Linked DNA regions of Mus musculus. The protein of the gene in region 3 interacts with the protein of the main gene of each other region in a pairwise test. Links are inferred from orthologs where the notes say so. Each region holds a gene or a part of one and is shown on either strand. Other genes may lie near its edges.

Region 1 (6,455 bases), on a different chromosome or scaffold from region 3:
ACTCAGTAGAAACATGTTTTCAAAAGCCTGCCCTGCCTTCCATGACCTCTGGGAAGCCTCTGGAGAGGTGATTAATGCACCAACAATCTAGATCACTGTCCACCTTCAAGTATTTTCTGAGCTATATACTTGGCAACACTTTTGTTCAAAGCCTTCCAAATCATGAGAAGAGGGCCACCATAAGCATTTTTTTAAAAAGCAACCCCTCCAACAGTGCTTGACACATCTTCAAAATGCGTCAACACTTTAAATGTGCAACACTTTCATCGACCTAAGCAAATACACTCGTTCAAATGTTAAGAATGAATTCTTGTAAAAACATTATTTTTCAATTTGTATACTTGGAAGCAGAATCACATCTGACACTAATGGAGATGTGAGATCCGAGTTGGAGAATAAACAAAGGCCAGGACAGGCAAAATGTTCTTCCTGCCCACGAAATGATGAGATGCAACTTGGATGGAGAAAAAAAAAAATTAAGGCAATATATATTGTTATAGCTTTAAAGAAACCTGTGATCTCTTTTGGCTTTGCCAAGGGAGTAAATTCCTTAGTTAAGACTCTTCAGACATCAGCTTTGCCTCAGGAACCTGTGGTATTATATCTTATAGATACTTTGTTATTCTGTAAAGATTATTGTACTGGAGAGCCCAAGCAAAATACAAATAAAACACCAACACACATTGCCTCCTACTTTTAAAAACTGTTGTGGGCAAATAGAAGGAGAGCAAGGGAATCCTCTTCGTCTTGTTTACTTTTTGTTCTCAATCTTTGATTTGGTTCCAAATAAAAACTTTGGAAGGGTTGAAATAACGGCTAGAATAATTGTATTCCATCCATACGTTGTAGAGGGCAGGGTGTGTGAGATCAAAGTTAAGATCACTTCTGACTCGGTGTGGGACATAAACAGACAACATCAAACCAAGACAAATAGAAAGTGCCCCTGTTAGTTATTCTGCCAGGTCCACTTTGCTTTCCCAGGCCTAAGAGGGTGTTACTAGCTGGGGGTGGGGGGGGAGTCGGGGAGGGGGGGACTTGCCCCTTTGCTATCAACAGTAAAGTTCATTACTCTTCTTCAGCAGAGCAGTGCTTCCTCATCTGGACAGTCAGATGCCCTGGCCATACCCTGTGAGTCTTAGGCCTTGATACTTTTCTCCACTTTTAAAGACTTGGAAACATTGTTACCCAATTTTTCATAGAAATAATCCTATCTTCAAATTTTGACACATAACTCAAAAGGCATCATGGACCTGGCCCGATCCACCTCCCCGCCTGGCACCATATTCACGGAGACTGTAAATCACTGAATATGAAACACAAAACCACAAATAGTTTGGGGTTTCTTTAAAAATGACAGTTGTATTAAAAGTCTTAAAATGAAGAGACAGTGACTAAATGAGTGGAATTAAAAGTTACAACTTGTTAAAATTCTTTTGGTACATCACAATAAAATTTTGCTCTTTGCCTCTGGAGGAACACCCTGTAACAGATAACAGACATTTCGAAAACAACAGAAAAGGAGAGCTAAAACCTGAAATTAGAACAAAATGAAGGGGGAAAAAATTCAAGACTTATGGACTTAACATTGAAAAAAAAAGCTAAAATTAATGAAGCAATTCACGGAATAACAGGTCCTATTCATCCTGGCTCTTTCAGGAAGATGCTTAAAGTAGTTTTGGGGAAAGCAGAACAGCAGATTCTGGGACATGGTGGGAATTCACAGGTTGGCACCGGCTGGAACAGCTGAGTTTGAAGGCACTCTGCAGACACAGGGGTGCTGGGCGCCCTGAATCACATTTACGAAGTCTTTGTATTGTATTTTTAAAAGCTAGTCAGCAAAATCTGTCACTGCCAACCACAAAAAAAAAAAAAAAAAAAAAAAAAAGCTATACTTACACTCATACACACACACACACACAATAGCACACACAAAAAATGTGCAGATTTGTAACATTTTTCACAGCTGATTAAAAAAAAATACTACCATTCTCCCCCCAGACTCCCCTTTGATACAGTAGGTAATCAAAATAGATTTTTTTTCCCCACAAATATCAGCAGACACTTCCTGGCACCCCACACTGTATTGGCATCAGTGTTAAACAGTCCCAGTTCACATGTGCAATACTTCAGATTGGATACACTGTAACAAGAACCCAACTTTGCATAGACATCCTCAGAATCGTAATCAGTCCCTGGGTTGCCCTTCCAAGCTGGCAGAAAAGGAACCCCTGGTCTTAATTTCTAAATAATCCTGGAAAACAAGGAAAAAAAGTTTCGTCCCCTCTTCTGGCTCCTTCATATGATTTTCTTGGACCTCTTTCCTTGTGTTAAAACTTGGAACTATGAACAGTTGCTCAGGGGAACCCTCCCCCACTGCCTCCTTCCCCTTCACTTCCTCTGCTTCGCCACCCCCATTTTTTTTTTTTCAGGTTTGAAACTTTTGCTTGCCGGTGTCAAGCAGCCAATACAGAGCCTTAATGGCTATTTAAACGGGGAAATATGCATGAACCAAAATCAACGAGGAACGTACACGCTGTATAGAGCCATTTTTCCACCGGGGTCTCAGATGCTCTGCAACGTACACCCTCTCAGACCCTGGCTGAAGGCTGGGGATGCTGGCTACACAAGTCAGCCAGGTTCCTCGGACATCCCAGCCAAGACAACAAAGTCGTCTCCAATCTCAAAGCAAGAAGACAATCACATTAAGAGAATCGGGTGCGTTTGGCTTTGTGCACAGAGCGTGGCCAGCGCCCGGCGGCAGACGGCGCCTCACAGGATCACGCAGGCCGAGCAGCAGCCCTCGTCGCCGTTGGGCTGTGCCGCGTAGTTCATCTGCCTCACGATCTCTGCGAATAGCTCATCCACTGAGGCTTTGTTTTTGGCCGATGTCTCCATGAAGGGGCAGCTCCACTCCTCGGCCAGGGCCTTACCCTCGCCATAGGAGACCTCACGTTCACCCTCCAAGTCCACCTTGTTGCCTACCAGGATCATGGGTACGCGCTCGTACCGCTTCACGCGGATGATCTGGTCCCGCATGGGCTTGATGTCCTGGAAGCTCTGCTGGTTGACCAGGCTGTAGACGAGAATGAAGCCCTGGCCATTCTTGATGTACAGGTCCCGCATTGAGGCGAACTGCTCCGTGCCCGCGGTGTCCAAGATCTCCAGCACCGACGGCGACGAGTCCACCTCGATCTCCTTGCGGTAAAAGTCCTCGATGGTCGGGTCGTACTTCTCGATGAAGGAACCTGTTACGAACTGCACGGTGAGCGCGGACTTGCCCACGCCGCCCGAGCCCAGTACCACCACTTTGTACTCTCTCATGGCTCCGTCGGCGCCCTCGTCGCGCCTGCCGCGGCCCCGTCGGGGCTGCGCGCCGGGGAAGGCTGGGCTGGGCGGACGGGTGGACTTCTCCCCTTCCTCAACTTCGCAGGAAAAACCCCGGCGAGACTAGCCCGGTAGCACGGGCTCGCCAACAGACTAGCAGAGCCCCGCGCCAGGCCGACCGGCAGCGGGGGCGCGTCCCTAGGGCGCGGGTCCCGGGCCCCGCAGCAGCCCTGTCGGAGGACCCTGAGGACAATGCGCGCAGCCGGAGCAAGACAACGGCTGGAGCTCTTCGCCCCGGCAGCCTGGGAGGGCCGGGAGGAGGTGGCGGCTGGTTGCAGAGGCGGCTGCTAATTGGGCGTCCGGCTGAGACACGCGTGGCATGAGTCCCCGCGGAACGTGCGTCCAGCTCCGCGACCCATCACTCTCTCTCCTCTGTCTCCCGCAGCCTCCGCTGGGCGAGGGCTTCCTACTCGCCGCGCGCAGCCCAGCCCTCCCCGCCCAGCCGAGCATGCCCAGTACGTCGCCCGCGGTGCCCCGCCCGAACTCCGCTCCAGCTTTTCCGCCGCATCGGGAGGGGGCGTGACAGAGGGTGTGGCAAACAGGGGCTGGGCGGGGCAGGGCGGGGCGGCGCGAATCTTGGAACTGGGCAGTCTTGCTTGTGTGTGCTTGTAAGTGGAAAGCTCGCCAAACCGAAGTCACCTCGGTCGGGGCTGTGCGGCTGCCGGCCTCCTATGGGGACAGCAGGCAGCAGCTGGCTGCGACCTCTTCGTCGGCTTGCGCTGTTAAAGGATAGACACTTGTCCCCGAACTCAGGCTGCTGCGCGCCTCTCAGGATCGTACACTTGCAGGGCATTTTTCAGGCCCCGGAAGGTAGCAGAGGTTCGTGCTCCCACTTGGCCCGGTGTTCCTCAGTTTCCCACGAAGAACTCGACCTGAGTCCCTGTCCGGACAAGGAGTTAGGGCTGGGAATCTGTGGAGAGCTGCAGCCTTCAGGGCAAGAGTTGCGGGGTCATCCTACGTCTCCCCCCTCCCCAACACCCCTTTGGTTAGAGCCAAAATATGGCTTGTGGATCGAGCCCCGTGGCTCCCGCACCGAGTCAGGGCATGCTCAGTCGGAGGAGCAGGTTTGGGGCTTGCAAGTAGGAAGGTTTCGCACCGCACACCCACACGCCAGCTCAAATTACCTCTCCCAGACTCCCAACTCATTGGCCCCAGGATGTGAGTCTCACACCCCCAAATGTTTTTCCATTGGCTGTTGCTGAGGTTTTGTCGCTTTAGACAGCTTCATTGGCTGCAAAGTCGCCTCCGCTCAGGATTGGTTATTTATAGAGATTGAGTGGAGAGGCGGAGGCCCAGCTGTTCCTTCTCCACTGCTCCCCGCCCCCTTCCACCCACTGCCCGGGCCTGTGCATCTGAAGCTGAGAGGGGAAAAGAAGGAATTTAGGTGGAGTGCTCCAAACTAAATATAGTCCTTTGTTGGTGTTCAGGAGGGAGTCTGACTTCTTTAAGCCCAGTCACGACCGTCCCTTAAAGAGAGCAACTAGAGCTCATTGCTGCTCCCCGTCTTTAAGAAACCCTGAAGTTCCTAACTTGATCTTAGCAGGAAGAAGGCTGGGATGAGCAATGAGCCACCGCAAGTTCGTGGCATCAGGGGAGGTGGGGCTGCCCGGGCTTGCCTCTTCCCAAAGCTCTGTTTGGTGGGGAGGGCAGTCTCAAGACTTGGCTCCGCTCAGTTGCACGGCGATGTGAGGTGACGCCTGGACTTGTCCCGAGTCTCTCTAGATCCTTGCTAGGAGAGATGTCGAGACCTGTCTGTGTACTGCACTGGCAGCGGGAGCCCGGGGGCACAGAGGGGTGGGGATCGGCTTTGTGTCGAGTCAACCAGGGTTAAGTAGCCAGGCTTGCTATCCCCCTGCCACTAGCCTCTGCTTTAAACGTCCTCACGGAAGGAAGAACCGAGCAGTGTTGCTTTTGGTTCCAAGTCACAGCGGTACTTAGGGCTCCATTTGGGAGTGAACCTGCTCCAGATTCTTGGCTGCGGCCCCGAGTGTCCACAGCCGCAAGTACCTGCCAGCAGAGCCAGGCAGAACCTCAGTATAATCCTGTGCCTTACTAAGGTGAAGTGCTTTCTCTCTGCCTTGGCTCTGCCTTTTAGTGGAGGAAGGGTTTTCATGGTCGACTACTGACTGCTTCGATATAATTATGCTTATATAATTCTTCAGAGAATTATCTCTGAAGCAAAACTTTAATATAGCCGGCTAGAACCCTGCCAACATTCTGCCAGTGTTTAATGCCTGCCAAGTGTTTTGCATGCACTATCTCAATTACCCCTTATAATAATAATTACTTATATGCCCATTTTAAAGATGAAGAAACTGAGGCTCCCAGGTGTTCAATAGCTTGCCTAAGAGTGGCAGAGCCAGGATTACAACCTAGGTGTTTGATTGTATAGCACTCAAAGGGCTAGTGTGCTTTCCCACAAAATTATCCCCAGCTTTTCTTCTCATGTAGAATTTCGTAATATAATCAGAGATGGACCCTCTGCTATGACCGTGCTTTGCACTCTTCTTGTGGAGATGACATCTCTCTGGAAGGCGCTTCCTCATCTACATTATGGCTCCAAGGGATGGAGACTCTGAAATATTTTTCTGTGTGGTGCCAAGCCCACCTCCAGGATCTTTTGGGGGACTCCCAACTCACCCATCTCCAGTTAATAATTCTTTGTTGGGCTGTGTGCTTTATTGAGGTGCTGTGGGCTCACAAAGGTGTGTTTCTTAGTAACATGAAAGAAAATGCTTCCAGCTTATATGTGTAGTCTGTCATTTCAAACTTTGGACCTCGCTCAGTGACGGCTTGGGTCATTGAACGAGTCCAGGGAGCTTCCTAACCTTAGTTTGTCTATCTATAAAATAGTGATTATGAAATTGGCCCTGCCCGCAGGACAGTACTAGGTACCTTGAACAGCAGTGCCCTCTCTTTACAGCAGAAAGGTGAGCAGAGTCAGAGCCTTGGTGTTCTGGCTGCTCTCTGCAGCAGTTTGGTGCATTCCAGGGAGATAATAATGACCAGACAGTGGATAGATAGTAACACCCATTAAAGCCATTGTGCACGAGGTATTTATCAACTACTAC
Region 2 (5,550 bases), on a different chromosome or scaffold from region 3:
AGCTGCAGTGCGTATCTAAACTCCCACAAAGCACTGGGAGAGGCTGCATGTCCTGATAGTCAGAGCTGATGAAGGCCTTTGGGAGTTCTGAGCTGGACCCCGGGTCTAGGGGTCCACTTGATAGAATGTCATTCTTCTTGATGACCTCTTTAGCGATGACCTGATGCTCAGGTTGTCAAGTTTGGGATGAGTTTGAACTTAGGCACTTGAACGTCTCTCTTGTTTTGGGTGTCCCTGCTTTGCAGAAAGTTCAGCATGTGTACTGTCGGCTAGCTGAGCCATCTCACCCCATGAGATTCCTAGGGCTGACATTTCCAGATTAGTCCATGTATGCAATCAAGGGTTGGAATTAAAGTGAGACTAACAGGGACATTTGTTGAGTGCCAGTTATATGCCAAGCACAATAGCCAGATGCCAAGTCTTCTTGAGTCTTTATGGCATCTTACCTTTCACATTCACTTAGCACAGACGTGGACACCTCACAGATGCTAGAGAAGTAGTCTTCAGAGAAATGAAAACTGCTCAGTCCCCAGGCAGGTGAGCTGGCTCAGTGGGGAAAGGGGCTTGCTGCCAACCTTGACAACTGAGTTTCAAAAGTTTCCCCCACGACCTCCACATGGGCACCATGGCACGTGCAAACTCAGACCTAAGCACATTAGTTAATAGTCCCAAGCTTTTGGGACGATGAGGCAGAAGGATCCGAGTTTCAGGTCAGCCTGAGCTGCAGTGGAGAAACTTTATCTTTAAAAAGAAGAAAAAAGATCTGTGCATGGTGGTGATATACATCTTTCATCTCAGCACTTGGGAAGCAGAGGCAAAAAGATCTCTGAGGTCAACACCAACCTGATCTACTGCAAGTTCCAGTCCAGCCAGGGCTACATTGAGAAAAGGGGGAGGGGGTAGAAGAGCCTCTCTGATGTCCCGTGAATCTAGTTTTACAGATAGTAAGCATTGAGGCTCAAGTAGTCACAGGTCACATGGTTGGTAGGTCAGAGTCAGAATCCAAGCTCAGTGTGTCTAAGTTCCAAAGCTTCTGTCTGCATCTCTCCCCCTCCCCCTCCCCTCCCCTCCCCTCCCCCTCCCCCCCCTCTCTCTGCTCCCCTCACAGACATTACATCAATTCCCTCCCCCACAGCCTGCTCTGGAGTGGTCTCTGTTTGCGCAGCCCCAGCAGCTGTGTCACTGGCCTTGTGGAGACCAATGAAGGGTTTAATTCCAACCCTTGATTGCATAAGCCCCAGGTTCCATCCCTACAGCATGTGCACACAAACACACATTTACCAACACTCTCCCACTGCCTCTCATTTATTTGTCAGCTGCTATGGACCTTGGCACTGAGGAAGGCGAGGATTAGGGAGGTCAGTTGCCTGAGGTTAGCTATGTGTCAGGGCTTGACCAGAACTAGATCCCAGGGTGCTGCCAAGGCCAAGGGGTGCAGGGAGCCTGGGATATTGGAGCCTGCATGTCACCTCTGACAGTTCTCCTGTCTGCTGGTCCCAGGTGAGAGCTGTCGTACGGACGGGACGTTTGCCTATGATGCCGACTTGAGCTGCTGCAGCTCCTTGTGAGTATCAGCTCTGTCTGGGACACCAGTTCCTCTCCTCAGCCCCTCCCGAACTCCTACAAGCATGATTTGCCTTTCTTCCAGTCACAGCTTCTTCTTCACCATCCTCAGAGTGGCCTCATGTCCAAGCTGTAGCTCCAACCATGCAACAGCACACCAGTGGCCTCTTAAATGACTTTAGGGAGGATGGAGATCAGAGAATACTACAGCATCACCATGCATGTTCACTGTATGAAAAGCCCTGGGTTCCATCCCTACAGCATGTGCACACACACACACACACACACACACTCACCATCAAGCTTAGATTTTAGTAGTCAAATTTTGGCGGCTTGGTCAGAACTAGCTGCAAGCAAGACTGCAGGCTTCTGCAGGCTCGGGGTGTAGCTCAGCTGGTAGAGTACTTCCCCTGCCATGCACAAAGCCCTGGTTCAATCCCCAGCACTGCATACCCTGATGCACACCTGTCATGTCTACATTCAGAAGGTAGAAGCAAGAGGACCAGAGAGTCACCGCTGGCTACATAATGAGTTCAAGACAAACCTGGGATATATGAAACCTCCCTCAAAATGTTTTAAAAACAATTCTGTTAGAAACATTGCCCATCCCCGTTTGCTCAGGATTGAGGAGTTTCCCAAGATATGGGATTTTCAGTTTAAATCCAATAAAACCCTCAGCAGGCCTGTGGTAGGGAGTTATCCTGGTCCTGTAAAGATTCTGATGTTGGCAAGTAGTGGCCCCTGCCAGTGGCCTGTGCCCTACCATACCAATGTTGATATTGGCACTACATTTGTATTCCCGAACCCATGTGTGTATAAACTAGCCCATAACTGACCTGATTTAGCAGAGGTGAGCAGAATCACACTAAGGACCCATTCGCTGAGCTTGCCATGTGATTGTGTATCATTGGCTTTTGTTAGCTGCTGTGTGGCTAGTTATCTGTTACGTGGGCTCTACAGTCTGAAGTGCTTGACAAACGTTAGTTCCTGTCATTTTTCACAGTGACACCAATCTTCATCATCCCATTTTACAGATGGAGAAGCTGAAGATTAGGGAAACAAAGTTTAGCATCCCAAGGGTCAGACAGACTTGGCTTGTGAGCAGAAGCAGGCTGGAATGCGAACTCAGGAGTCTACGCCCTTGCTAGGTCTGTGTTCCCAGACTTCTGGAGGTGGAAGTCAGAGTGTTAAAAGTTCAAAGCCCAAGCCCAGTGAGGTCATCTTATTTTAAAAGTAGTGAATAATGAGAACTTCCTACATTGGGCTGGGGGTGATCCAGAGATAAGAGAGTGTTTGCCTAGGATATCAGAGGCTTTCATTCCAACCCTCCCTGTCACTGCATAAACCTGGCTGGGTGGTTCATGCAACAACGTCAGCCCTGGGAGGTTGGAAGCAGGAGGATCAGAAGGTCAAGGCTAATCTCTGCTACATAGAGAGCTTAAGACCATTCTAGGACATGTGAGACCCTATCAAAAAACAAAACCCTCCACGATGATCCGGGCAGCCTAGTTTATAAAAAAGAACTCAGCAGAGAGAAAGGAGAAGGGCCACACAATTCAGCAGAGGTGGCAGCCAGCAGTGATGACGCCACACTGACAAGGAGCTTCCTGGGCTATGGGAGAGTCAGAAGGGGACTCTACCTTATCCAGGAACCAGGAGGGCTTCCTGACAACAGCTGAGCTGGAAATAAAGGGGACAGGTCATTCCATGCAGAGGGGAACAGTGAGAATTCAGAATAAGCAGGTAGAGGTCCTGTGGCTGTGACATCAGACGTGAGAGAGACAGTGGCGGAGAAAGAATTCCAGGCAGAGGGAGCGGCGTGTGCAAAGGCCCAGGATGGGGTAAGGAAAGGTGACCCGAGTGCCCAGAGCAGGAAGGGACTTGAAAGGTTGCTGGGCTTTGATGAGCAAGACGAGGTCTGGATAGCCTTGAGCACTGGTATAGAGGCCCAACCACCTTTAGCCTCCCTAGGGAAAGGAGCAGAGGTTGGTGAGGCTACTTCCATCCTTTCTGTGCAGCAATGGCTCCCAGGACACATTTGAAGCGTGCTACAGTGGCGCATCCACACCGTCTTTCCACGGCTCCCACTGCAGCAGTATCGACCACAGCAGCTGGGCCTTCGAGCAGCTACAGGATTACATGGTCACGGTGAGCATGAGTGGGCGGCAGAGCTCCGCAGCAAGCATGGCTCAGAGATCAGGGAAGGAGGTGTGACCAGGAGAGGCCAGCTTAGAGAAGCCTGGACTGGTGTCAGCCTGCACTGAATGTCTTGGGCACCTCTCCTGCATCTTGTCTTTCATCTCTTCAGCAACCTCAAGAGGGAGGCTCCCTCCTCACCCCAAATACAGAGAAGGAAAGCAAGGGTCAGAGAGATAATGACATCCTGCCACCACAGAGGAGGTCACCAAAGGATTGGGACTCAGGAAGCTGGACCCATATTCCATTTGTTTTACTGCTGTGAACGGACACCATGACCAAGGCAACTCTTATAAGGACAACATTTAGTTGGGGCTGGCTTACAGGTTCAGAGGTTCAGTCCATTATCATCAAAGCGGGAGCATGGCAGCATCCAGGCAGGCATGGTGCAGGAGGAGCTGAGAGTTCTGAACCTTCATCTGAAGGCTGCTAGCAGAATACTGACTTCCAGGCAGCTAGGTTGAGGGTCTTAAAGCCCACACCTACAGTGACACACCTACTCCAACAAGGCCATACCTTCTAATAATGCCACTCCCTGGGCTAAGCTTATACAAACCACCACACCATTCTGAGATGCAAAGGACCAGATGTTGACCCTCCAGTAGGCAGTGGAAGATTTTGCAGGCAGGCTGGGCCTGACAGAATGCCAGAAAGAACCTCAGCATTTTTAGCAGAAGTCAGGTGGTGTTGCAGTCTGGATCTGGTCCCCAAGGGGTATCCTTCACTCCCACAGCTGCGGAGTAAGCTGGGTCCTCCTGAGATCCAGCAGTTTGCATTGCTGCTACGAGACTATCGTCTGGGGCTGCCTATCCAGGACTACTGTGCAGGTCTGCAGAAACTCTATGGGGACCGACGGAAGTTCCTTCTCATTGGTAAGCCCCACTCCCCCTTGGCTCCAGGCATTCCCAGCTAGGCACCACCTGGGAGCACTTTGTTTTCTGAGCCCCTAAAGCCCAAGACTTTGAGAACCTGGACCTGAGGAGAGCAAGAAAGAGTGCAGAAAAGGGAATAGGATCGCCAGGAGGTGGCAATGCTCAAACTGGCAGGAGCAGAGCCCTAGAGTAGCAAAGCTGGTTAGGCTGTGATCACACACACACACACAGGGGGGGGGGAGGGGGAGGGGGGAGAGAGGGAGAGAGAGGGAGGGAGGGAGGGGGAGGGGAGAGGGGGAGGGAGGGGAGGGGGAGAGGGAGAGCGAGAGGGAGAGGGAGAGAGGGAGAGGGAGATAGGAGGAGGGAGAGGGGGGAGAGGGAGAGAGGGAGGAGAGGGAGAGGAGAGAGGGAGAGGGGGGAGAGGGGGAGAGGGGGAGAGGGGGAGAGGGGGGGAGAGGGGGGAGGGGGAGAGGGAGAGAGGGAGAGGGAGAGAGGGAGGGGGAGAGGGGGAGGGGGTGGGGAGGAGGCGGAGATGGGGGGAGAGGGAGGGGAGGGGGAGGGGGAGGAGAGGGGGAGGGAGGAAAGGGAGAGGGCCTATCTCAGCCTCAGAGGGGCAAAGCAACTTGTCTGGAGTCACACAGCTAGTGAAGAGGGTTGCTAAGCACCATAGGAATACTACTGACAGCATAGGAGCATGTGTCTGGTAGTTGTCGTGAGCCAAGCATGATCTCATAGACTCTCCCCACTCCTGAGAAATAAATATTACTATTTCGTCCCCATTTGCATGCGAAGAGACTGAGATTCACAGTAGCAAAGTAAAGTAAAGACATTAAAGATCCAGAAAGGGACGCAAGTAAATCTAATGTTTATGGGGCTCAGCATGGGAAGTAACTTAGTACACTTGCATCAAATCAGACGC
Region 3 (6,583 bases):
TGCTCACAGTAACAGAGTAGGGGGAGAGGCCTGGGACACAGTGGGCTTCAAACTGCACTCTTTAGTGACTGCAAAACCGTGTGTAGCACGGCCTACCCAGTTTTGAAAGGTGACAACAAAAGAGTACCCTGAGTGTTGCTGTGACCTCACCCGGTGTGTACATTTGTGTGTTTTGTGTACATGTGTATTGTGTGCTTATGTGCTTGTTTTTGTATATGCATATTTGCATATGTATGTTCATGGATTTTTTTTTTTTTTTTTCTGAGACAGGGTTTCTCTGTGTGGCCCCTGGCTGTCCTGGAATCCAGGCTGGCCTCAAACTCAGAGATCATCTGCTTCTGCTTCCCCAGTGCAGGGATTGAAGGCGTGTGCCACCAACCACTTGGCTGTGTGTATCTTTGTTTGTGTGAAAATAAAGGTGGAGGTGGGAGGGCTTTATGGACAGTCCCAACCACTCCTCTTTTTTGTGACTTTATTTTTATCTTATGAATGTGTGTATATGTATGTGCTCGTGTGCACACATAAGAAGTGTAGACCAGAGGTCAATGCCTGTCTTCCTTGGTCACTTTCCAACTCTATTTTTTATTTGAAACAGGGTTTTTCACTGAAACTGGAGCTTGCCAATCTAGCTAAACTGGCTGGCCAGTAAGCCCCAGGAATCTTCCACTGTCCTTCCCTAGTGCTGGAACCACAGGCTTGTGCTTTCTCACATCCGTTCTGGAGATCGAACTTGGGTCCTTGGCTTGCACAACAAGCCTTCCCTCCAGCTCCCACACTCCTTTCCCGAGTGCTGGTGGAAGGGTGTGTGACTTGGTAGCCTAAAGACAGCCTAACTCCTGGAGGGGTGCAATTGGGTTTCGTTTGTTTTGCTAATTATATTCTGCTGTTCAGCCCTGCCTCCTTCTCCCACCAAAGCTCAGAAAGAGCCAATGCAGCTGCCCTCAGCAGCACTATGGGAGGCGACATCAGCCCCAAGAGCAAGCCTGGCCTACACCCTCACCCCACTCTTCCCGTGCCCATCGCATGGCCCAGCAGCGCATGGTCCAGCGTCCCCATCTAAACTCATACTTTTGGGGGGGCACAGTAGAGTTTCCCTTTCTGCTTGGGGCCAGGGTTCCTATTTTCTCAGCCAGACACTTGTAACTGGGACCTGCACTTGCCCATGCCTGTCTCTTGTTTGCTAGCTGTTTGCTTTCTGGTGGGGCTAGGTCTGTACAGGGACTTGCCAGGAGGCCTAGCTTCCCCTGGCAGCACTCTGTCAAATGTACCTTTAGGAAGACCTCTAGTAGCTGCCCAGCAGAGACCCCTCATTCTCCTAAGAAGACACTTGCTAGACTAAGAAGATCCTGCAGTCCAGGGCTAGTCTTTGGTTGAGATCTGAGTCCATCAAATCTGCTCTTGGGGATCAGTAAGTGGGAAGAATCCAGAAGATCGCCGAACAGTGCCGCCCAAACTGGCTGCAAAGTCCCCCCAGAGGGGCCTGGCTCCAAACACCAAGAGTCAAATCGGGGATGCTGGTTGGGGGTGAGGAGGGGGCCTTGTGGAAATCCACCTGTGCCCCTGGGGGCCTGGCTCCAAACACCAAGAGTCAAATCGGGGATGCTGGTTGGGGGTGAGGAGGGGGCCTTGTGGAAATCCACCTGTGCCCTCCTTCTTCAGGGCCACTTTCAAGAGACTGGAAAGAATGGAGGCTCCTTTTCCTGGCCAGGGCAGAGGGAAAGGGCTGCCCAGGCTATCTGGGCAGGATGGCTGTGAGCTCTCAGAAGTCACAGGAGTCCCTGAAAGAGCTGAGCAGCCCACGTTTTGCTGCCTCAATCTGCACTCCGAATGTTCACCACAGGCAGAAGACATCCTAGTTGCCAGTCCTAGGAGAAGCAGGGAGAGACTCGGGACCACCTCCCTATCCATTTTCTCTCATCCCATTCAGCCTAGGAGACTCGTGGGCAGCTCTGCCACGAATAGGAAGGTGGGAAGGGTCTTATGAGGGGTATGGGGAATGGAGGAGCCCAGTGGAGGGCGACTCCCAAATGGGGTGCAGTTCCCTCCTGCAGTCTAGGGGAGGTGGGCCTTTAGGGGATAAGAGTCTGGGTTCACTGTTCAACTGCGGCAGCAGAAGAGTCAGCCCATTGGCTTGTCCGTGCAGGGCGCGGGCCTAGAGGGTCAGACGCAGTGCGTGGGCACCGTGTGGTGCAGCCCATGTGCTGGGATAGGGCGCGAGCACGGGTGGGATTGCATGGTGCGGGCGCAGTGCGGGTGCCGGCGCGGGCGCGACGGGCATGCGAGGGGAGCCGCGGTGCGGGTGCAGGGTGCGGGCGCAGTGCGCGTGCAGGCGCGGGCGCTAGTGCAGGTACAAGGCGCGGGTGCGGTGAGTGTGCGGGTGCAGGCGTGTGTACGGTGCGAGTGAGGCGCGTGCAAGGGGCGGCGGGCGGGGCGGGCGCGGCGGCGACAGCGGCGCCCGCGCCTCTGCGCGCGTAGGTGTGCGGCGCGCTCCTGGCGGGGACAGAGCGAGCAGATCTCGCGTGCGCTCGCCGCCCGGCGCAGCCCAGCCCGGCCCCCGCCCGGCGCCGCGAGCCGAGGTGTCTCCCGCGCCCGCGCCCGTGTCGCCGCCGTGCCCGCGAGCGGGAGCCGGAGTCGCCGCCGCCCGAGCGCAGCCGAGCGCACGCCGAGCCCGATCGCCACCGCCATGGCCACCACGGTGACCTGCACCCGTTTCACCGACGAGTACCAGCTATACGAGGATATTGGCAAGTAAGAGCCTCGGCGCGCGCGGGCTGTCCGCAGACCCCGGGGAGCAGGGACCCCATCGCCGCCCGCCTCGCGCGCACTGCGGCCCCGCGCGCCCCCGGCTCCTTCCAGCTGCGGGCCCAAGCGCACAGCCCCGTGCAGCCCCGACCCCCGTGCCTTGGGTTCTGGGCCCCGCTCCTCCACCGCAGTGCTTACGGCCCTGCCGGGTGCCATAGCTTAGCGGGGACCGGGACTCAGGGACATGGACGCGGCGCGGCGGGGGCGGCAGCAGGTGTCCCCCGAGCGCCGGGCAGACGTGACGCATTTGGCGGCGGGGAGGTCAGAGAGGAGCGGCACCCGGGGGCGGCTGCCAGGCCTAGAGTGCCCGAGGGGTCGGTCATGGCCTCAGGGGGTCGTCTCCGGTGTGGGCACGCTGTCCTCACCCCCACCCGAGAGGCGGGCGGCAGCGGTAGCGGACCCGCTCCGCGCCTGCTCCTCGCGTGGCCCCATCTGCTTTGGGGGAGCAGCGTGGGAGCAGCTTCTGCCTTGGGTCCCTTGGGGAATCTGGGTTCTAGAGGATTTTCCCCCCAGATTCTTCTGGAAACAAGAACTTGGAGGGGGTGGACGAGGTCAGAGAGCCAGGATCAGGCCGTGGAGTGGGGGTGGGGGTGAGAGAGTGAGGAGAGAGAGACAGGGAACCAGTTGGGCCTCTGATTTCAGGGTCATCGAGGCAGAGAGAGGCTGGCTTCTGGACCTTTTTTTTTTTTTTCCTCCTGTGGTGGGAGGGCTGAGGGGAGGGACTCTAAAGGCGTATTTCTAGTAGGGCCTCGTGGGGAACAGGTGCCCTGGCGCCAAGACGCTGCTCCGCAGTACAAGCAATATGGGGGTGAAGCTATGATTGTGAACGTCCAGACCTGGCTTTGTCCTAGGGTCTCAGAAACAGCGAAGCCCCTCAGGGGCCTGGGGCTTCCCTCTGTGATTTAAGGTGACTGCAGGGGCATCCTTAGGTGCTGGCTGCTTAACTCCAGAGCTGGATCTTCCTTCCCACTCCCTCTCCCCTCCCCCATCCGTCTTGTGCCGTGGGGGCGCTGGCGAGATTTCCTCTTACACATCCAGCCGCAAATCCTTTTTTTCCCTTTACTGAAAAAGCGTCTGAAAGCTTGTGGTGGGCGAGGGACGCTGATCACTGATAATTGTGGAGTGCCCCGCTGGAGGAGTGTGGGGGTGTGTGCATTCCCCACTCCTTCCTGCACGTGCCAACAGGATTTGGGTCAGGTCTTGGGGGGCGGGGGTGAGGAGCCAAGTGGAGTGACAGGAGGAAGTCTATACTGGATGGGAAGGAACAAGGCTGGGTGGACCCGGACAGCCATCCCAGCCTGGAGAGCTCAGCGCCCTTTCAGCGCTGTGCCTCACGCTTGCAGGCGTTGAAGAACCTTCCAGTAGCCTGTGGGGGCATGCTCTGTGAGGAAGAGGTGGTGGGCTGGGGAGTCCTCAGGTGGAGCTAAGGCAGCCTCGGGGTTATGGGGGCCAGCCCTGCAGCTCACAGATCCTCTGATGCCTCGAAGAGCTCTTCCGAGCCAGGTTCATCCCCCCACAGCTGTGTGCTGCCAGGGCAGGTGGCAGCAGTGGGAAGCCTCTCCTTCCTAGGGAACCTTCTTGTCACCTTCTCCTGTATGCCCAGGGGCTTGTCTCCCACCCTAGGCCTCTTGGTATCTTCTGAGCAGTCCACATGAGGAGCCCGTAACCTACAGACCACCTAGGTGGGCTAGTTTTCCCCGTTGGTGGGCGCTGTCCTGGGCCGAGCAGCAACATAAGGTGGCCAGCAGCACCCCCGCTGGGGAACGGCCGCTGGAGGGTGACATTTGCGGTAGACACCAGTGAGGGCTGTCACTACCAGCTCCTTCCTAGGCACAAAAGAATGGCCACTCACCCAAGTGTGGGGAGGCTCCTCAGGTGCTGGGGTGGAGGAGACACTCCAGTCAGGGACAGTCAGCTCAGCCCAGCATATCTTGGTGGAGCCTGCTAGGTGCCAGTCCCCAGGAATGGGCAAGGAAGGATGAAGGGGATGGGACCCTCAAGATACACTGTGGGAACTCAGCTCCCCCAGTAGCCATGTTGGCCATGATCACTAGTGGTTGCTGGTGCCTGCCTACAGCACAGTTGGTACTACTTCAGGGCCCCAGGTAGACACATCCAAGTTTATTTAAAGCTGTCGCCCCTGGCACCGGGTCAGGAGATGCTGAAGTCCCCTGCTTGGCCGGAGGGCTGCACCCAGGCCCACAGCTGCTCTTGGTTCTCTAGTGGCAGCTTTGGACTTTCCCCTCAGGCCCGGGCAGCAGATGGGGTGTCTGAGGAGAATGGCTCTCGGGGGTCCAGCCCTCGAGGCACCTCAATGTGTGTCTTTCTTTGTAGCTAGTTCTTGCCTCGTGGTTCATGTGCTGGGTTGCGGACACGCTGTGAACTCAGGGCCCCAGGAGAAAGCACAGTGCAAAGTGGGGGACACCATCAGTCTATGTGGACCAGCCTTGGTGTGGTTTAAATGATCTCCTATTGGATGCGTTTGAAAACCTCAGAGACCCCAGGAGCGATAACCAGTGGTGTCTCTTCTACCCAGAACTAAAACGGAGTCATCGTTTTACCTCAGTCCTGTCTCAAAATTATAGCAAGTAATTACTACAAATAAATACTAAAGAGCCCATTTTCTTCTGTCTCTTTGTCGCACTTGCACAGACACAAAGATCCCTATCAACACTAGGATTCTTCCCCATTTTCTTGTAACTTTGTAAGATTCCAGAACTGTGCTCTTGGTCAGGATAGTCTTGCAGACACACAAGGTGCTGACAGGCAGCGGCCCTGACTGCCACATGGTGATCGTGGCACGAGCACCACGTATCTATCACCCACCCTGTTCCTTACGGAGAGCTAGGCTGCCTCCTAGTCTCTCTGGTCACATGACCAATGCTGTGCGCATGTTGACTGGCACACGAGTGAGATTTGCTTTGGTGTTTGTCACTGGTGGTAGGGTTTACACATGGCAACGCTTGCCCACTTCCACTGGCTGTGAGCCCAATGCACTGGCCCTGCCTTTGGCAGGTACGAAATGATAGTGGGTGCAAAATGATTGAAAGTTCTGCGTTAACGCATGTGAATTTTCCACTTTTAGAGAGTGGTTGTCTTAATAAAATATAGGTGGTCTCCTTAGAGACTTCCGTAAGTTTTGTATATAATTTAGGGTTCATGGACACTCCTACTTTGGGGGAGAGAGCATGGGCGCCTTGGCTTTGGTATTCTTATAGTAGTGCCTAAGGTTACTCACTACCTGACCAAGCTTGGGCTGTGGAGATCACCTTTGACCTTCAGCCCAGAGAGTTCCCGCCATTCTGGGCCCTGCCCCCATGGGCCTAGACCTGACCTTAAGTGTCCTTGGCGCCATCTCCCATCCCCAGCCACCATCCAGAGCAGGTGCTGCCCACTGTCCAGGATCGTTGTCATCAGCTGTTGGTTCTTCTGACTGGGTGACCTGCTGGGTAGTTGATAAACTTGGGACCTTCCTTGTCCTGGGACTGGGTACAGGAGAAATCTTGTTCTTGCTGCATGTTTGCTTTCTCTTTCCTGCCCTGGAGAACCCCAGGCACAATCTGCCTCCTGGCCTTTGCTAGGGCTACCCTCCCCCTCCCACCAATTTGCTTGCCCCACCCCCCACCCCCTTTCACCTACTCTGTTCAGCATTGTCTTGCTCTCCCTGGGACTGGACCACTCACATGAAAGCAGGAGCTGGGACCCCTGCCTGGGGCCGAGGCTCAGGGCGCAGCAGAGTGGGTCTCACGTCACCTGAGGGGAAGGGGTAATTGGACCTCTG
Region 4 (3,500 bases), on a different chromosome or scaffold from region 3:
AGGCTTTGGTTGTTACAGATTAGGCAGAAATGTGATTTCTTTTAAACTATATTATTTTATGTGTGTAAATATGCATGTGTGTACACTGTGTGCACATCTGGTGCCCTTGGAGGCAGGAAGAGGGCAACAGATGCCCTGACACTGGAGTTAAGACAGATGTGAGCCACCATGTGCATCCTAGGAATCAAACCCAGGTCCTCTGTTAGGAGTAGCCAGTGCTTTTAAGCACTGAGCCATTGATATTCCCTTGGGAATCCATTCTTAAGGCAGGCCCCATACAGTTTCTGAAGCTGAAGGTTCCCACAGTGAAAAGATCTACTGGCTGGTTTCAAACAAACATGAAGACCAAGGACCCCAGGGGTGGTCAGAGGTGACAGCAACCCCAGCTAGACCCAGCAGAGGAAGGTCCATAGGACAGATGGCAAACCCTCCCTGCGCTGGCCTCTCTTCCCCTAGTGGTACATAGCTGTCCCTTCCTGTGCCATGGCCGGAGGGACACTCTAATGCCAAAGGGCCTGAGAGCAGAGCAGAGGCCTCGCAGCCTCCCAGTACATAGTGGCTGGGCTCACACAGCCCATTTGAGTCCATCCCTGCTGAAATCATTGGAATGTTCCAGATGGAGAGCTCTGTTCTTAGCCATTCCCAAAAAGACCTGAGCCCCTTAGTCAGCCCTCAGTCACCACTCCATGAGGTCACCACTCCATGAGGTCACCACTGCAGAGACCTGGGAACGGAGGAAAGAACGAAGCAGCCCAACCTGCAAGGCATATGGACCACAGGCAGAGTTGGGCAAAAGGGCCTGCGCTCCCAGCCAGGTTACAAAAGAAACATAAGCTCTTCATGGGAAGGAGCTCCACACTCATGATGCCAACAGAGAAGAGGAGAAAGGTTTCCATGGTTACCACAGCCAAGGAAAAGGTACAGATGAACCAAAGGCAATGGCTCACCCAACCTGGTTTCTAGATGGGCAGGGACAGATTGGTCCAGGAGCCTCTGCAAAGTCATACAAGCCAAGGTCTAGAATAGCGGGGTAGATACAGAGGCACAGGTGGCAGCCATTGACTAAGTGGTCTCAAGAAGGAGAGGGAGCAGGCTGGGACTCCTGTTCTGGCTGGAAGAGGGCTCAAGTGTGCTTTGTAATCCACCGGTGCTCCATCTGCCAACTGCAGACACACAGGGAGTGAAGACTCTGCTCAGGGAGCAAGAGGACCAAAGAGGTCATACAGCAAGGACGTCAGCGCCTGGGCATGGTCAGCCCTCCATGCATGAACAAGCTGTTGCCACAGTCAGCTTCGGCTACTAACTTGATACAAACAGTCACCTGGGAAGAAAAAAACCTCAACTAAAGAATTGCTGAGATCAGACTGGCCTGTGACCGTGTCTTGGCAACATCTTCTAAACTGCCGATTGATGCAGAAGAGTATACCATGCCTAGGCAGGTGGCCTCGGCTGTGTAAGAAAGGCAGCTGAGCAAGCCAGAGGGAGGGAGCCTGTAAACTGCATTCCTCCACCACCTCTGCTTCAGTATGGTCTCCCCAGTGATGGCTGTGGCCTCTAAACCAAAACAGAGCCTTTCTTCCCCAAGTTAGTTTTGGTTCATGTTTCACCACCACAACAAAAAGCGAACCAGAACACTATTGTGATCCGTGCTCAAAGATGCTACCGCTGAGCGTGCTGGCTGGTGAGAAGCACCTGGGAGTTAGTTACCTGTGAGGATGTTCTCCGACATCACGTGGACCTGGACCTCCACAGAGTGCTTGGAAGTGTAGGTGATCTCTGCACTGACATGAGCCACCTCGCCGATGCACATGGGTGACAGGAAGTCAGTGCGCTCCACCCGTGCCAGGGCAGCCACACAGCGCTCCTGCAAAGACCAGAAAAAGCCATCAGCCCAGTCCAGCCCAGCAAGTCCTTATGACAGAGATGCTCTGCAAAACTGCCTGCTTTGTTCCTCACTGTAGAATAATGGGACTGAGGGACACTTCTAGCCTAAGTTGGAGAGACACTAGAGAGTACCTCAGAGTCACTGCCATGTGCTTACCAGGACATTTCTTCTTATTTTTCTACAATCAACATGCACTGCTGCTTCACAAGGAATATTGGAAAAGCACACAGAGATAGAAAGGGGGTAGCCTCACTCCCCTTCCCAAGAGAAGCGATTAGGGCTCAGGTCGGGCTTGGCTGCCTTGCCTCTCTTCTGGCCTGCTTTAGTGTTAGGTAGTAGCTATGCACCTGCCAAATATATCTTCACAGTCGCATCTTCCTCAACAAGGAAAAGGCATCTTCCTATTGTTGCTATGTTATCTACCTTCAATGTGGTACCAGAGGGACTGGCCAGAGAGTACACAGGAACAGAACAGGTCATCTATGGAAGTGGCATTCCCAGGGCACTAGAGACTAGTAGACTCTGTCTCTCTGTCTTTTCTCTCTTCCGCCCCCCACATACACACTCTGAACCTTTAAACAGATGACCCAGTCTCATGATTCAAAATTCTAAATTATTAAAAGAGCATCTGGCACCAGGTATAGCTCCAGCCAGTTTGTCCCTGAGTCACCTGCAAGCCCTGGGTACATGGCATCAACCCACAGTGAGGCCCAGATGGTGGATGCAAGCATGGTGACTAACTGCTCTTCACCCTCAAAACCCACCCCTTGCAGTCTAATCTAGACTGTCCTACAGGCTGAGTCTTGGTCTAACCTGGACTGTCCTACAGGCTGAGTCTTTGTCTAACCTAGACTGTCCTATAGGTTGCTTCTTAGTCTGTTAGGGCTGCTGAAACAAAAATTAAGCTGGATGTAAAACTTCATCTCTCCAATTTTCAGACTAGAAGTCTGAGATAAAGACACAATGGACTCAAGTCTTGTAAAGCCCTTCTTCTGGGCTCACGGCTGAAGAGCATGATTATCAGATTAACACAAGGCCATTAGGTAGGGCCTGGGGACACACACCTGCATCCCAGCATTAAGAAAGACAGGACGACGAGGAGTGGAGGGGAAGGTTCCAAGGCAAGCCTGGGCTACACAAGGTACCTGTGTCTGAGGTCTACCTAGGGTACAAAACAAGACCTGGTCTTAAAAAGACTCAATAAATAGATAAATAAGTAGGTACTGAACCCTTCACAAAGGCTGAACACCAGTTGTGTCTTCCACACCTATTCCTGGGGACCTGGCAATTGTTTTAGTGATCAGACTGACTAGGGATCTCCATCTTGTGTTAGACACATACCAGCTTCAGTTGTGGTGTAGCATAAGCAATGCTGTAGCGATGACCTTCACACCCAACATCCTCTGCACTTCAGGGGTCAGTGTTCCGATATGCACTACCAAAGAGCCCTTAAAAGGCCAGCAGTGACCCCCACCCCCACCCCGCCAGGGCCACAGGCACCTCAGGGTGCCTTTATTGCAATTGAAGGCCCAGGACTGAAAGGGCCACGCAGTGTTTTGGAGATGCCAGTACCATGAGATGACCACCAAGAGCAGCAGCAGCAGTGGAGTACAGG

Evidence for each region.
Region 1: the proteins of Camk2b (region 3) and Rap2b interact in binary tests that used the Homo sapiens proteins (3 or more experiments, as listed by UniProt). The two-hybrid records come from large-scale screens. The link is inferred for Mus musculus from reciprocal best matches to the Homo sapiens genes CAMK2B and RAP2B.
Region 2: the proteins of Camk2b (region 3) and Ccm2l interact in binary tests that used the Homo sapiens proteins (3 or more experiments, as listed by UniProt). The two-hybrid records come from large-scale screens. The link is inferred for Mus musculus from reciprocal best matches to the Homo sapiens genes CAMK2B and CCM2L.
Region 4: the proteins of Camk2b (region 3) and Acot7 interact in binary tests that used the Homo sapiens proteins (3 or more experiments, as listed by UniProt). The two-hybrid records come from large-scale screens. The link is inferred for Mus musculus from reciprocal best matches to the Homo sapiens genes CAMK2B and ACOT7.

The regions. Positions count from the first base shown.
Region 1 is NC_000069.6:61,361,923-61,368,377, reverse strand, and holds the start of Rap2b (ras-related protein Rap-2b), read right to left. Parts: upstream 3,872-6,455; 5' UTR 3,322-3,871; coding exon 2,770-3,321; 3' UTR 1-2,769. UniProt on the Homo sapiens protein: Small GTP-binding protein which cycles between a GDP-bound inactive and a GTP-bound active form. Involved in EGFR and CHRM3 signaling pathways through stimulation of PLCE1.
Region 2 is NC_000068.7:153,074,901-153,080,450, forward strand, and holds part of Ccm2l (cerebral cavernous malformations 2 protein-like), read left to right. Parts: coding exon 1-7; intron 8-1,500; coding exon 1,501-1,564; intron 1,565-3,581; coding exon 3,582-3,711; intron 3,712-4,492; coding exon 4,493-4,631; intron 4,632-5,550.
Region 3 is NC_000077.6:6,061,639-6,068,221, reverse strand, and holds the start of Camk2b (calcium/calmodulin-dependent protein kinase type II subunit beta), read left to right. Parts: upstream 1-2,473; 5' UTR 2,474-2,683; coding exon 2,684-2,748; intron 2,749-6,583. UniProt on the Homo sapiens protein: Calcium/calmodulin-dependent protein kinase that functions autonomously after Ca(2+)/calmodulin-binding and autophosphorylation, and is involved in dendritic spine and synapse formation, neuronal plasticity and regulation of sarcoplasmic reticulum Ca(2+) transport in skeletal muscle.
Region 4 is NC_000070.6:152,216,100-152,219,599, reverse strand, and holds part of Acot7 (cytosolic acyl coenzyme A thioester hydrolase), read right to left. Parts: intron 1,865-3,500; coding exon 1,708-1,864; intron 1-1,707. UniProt on the Homo sapiens protein: Catalyzes the hydrolysis of acyl-CoAs into free fatty acids and coenzyme A (CoASH), regulating their respective intracellular levels.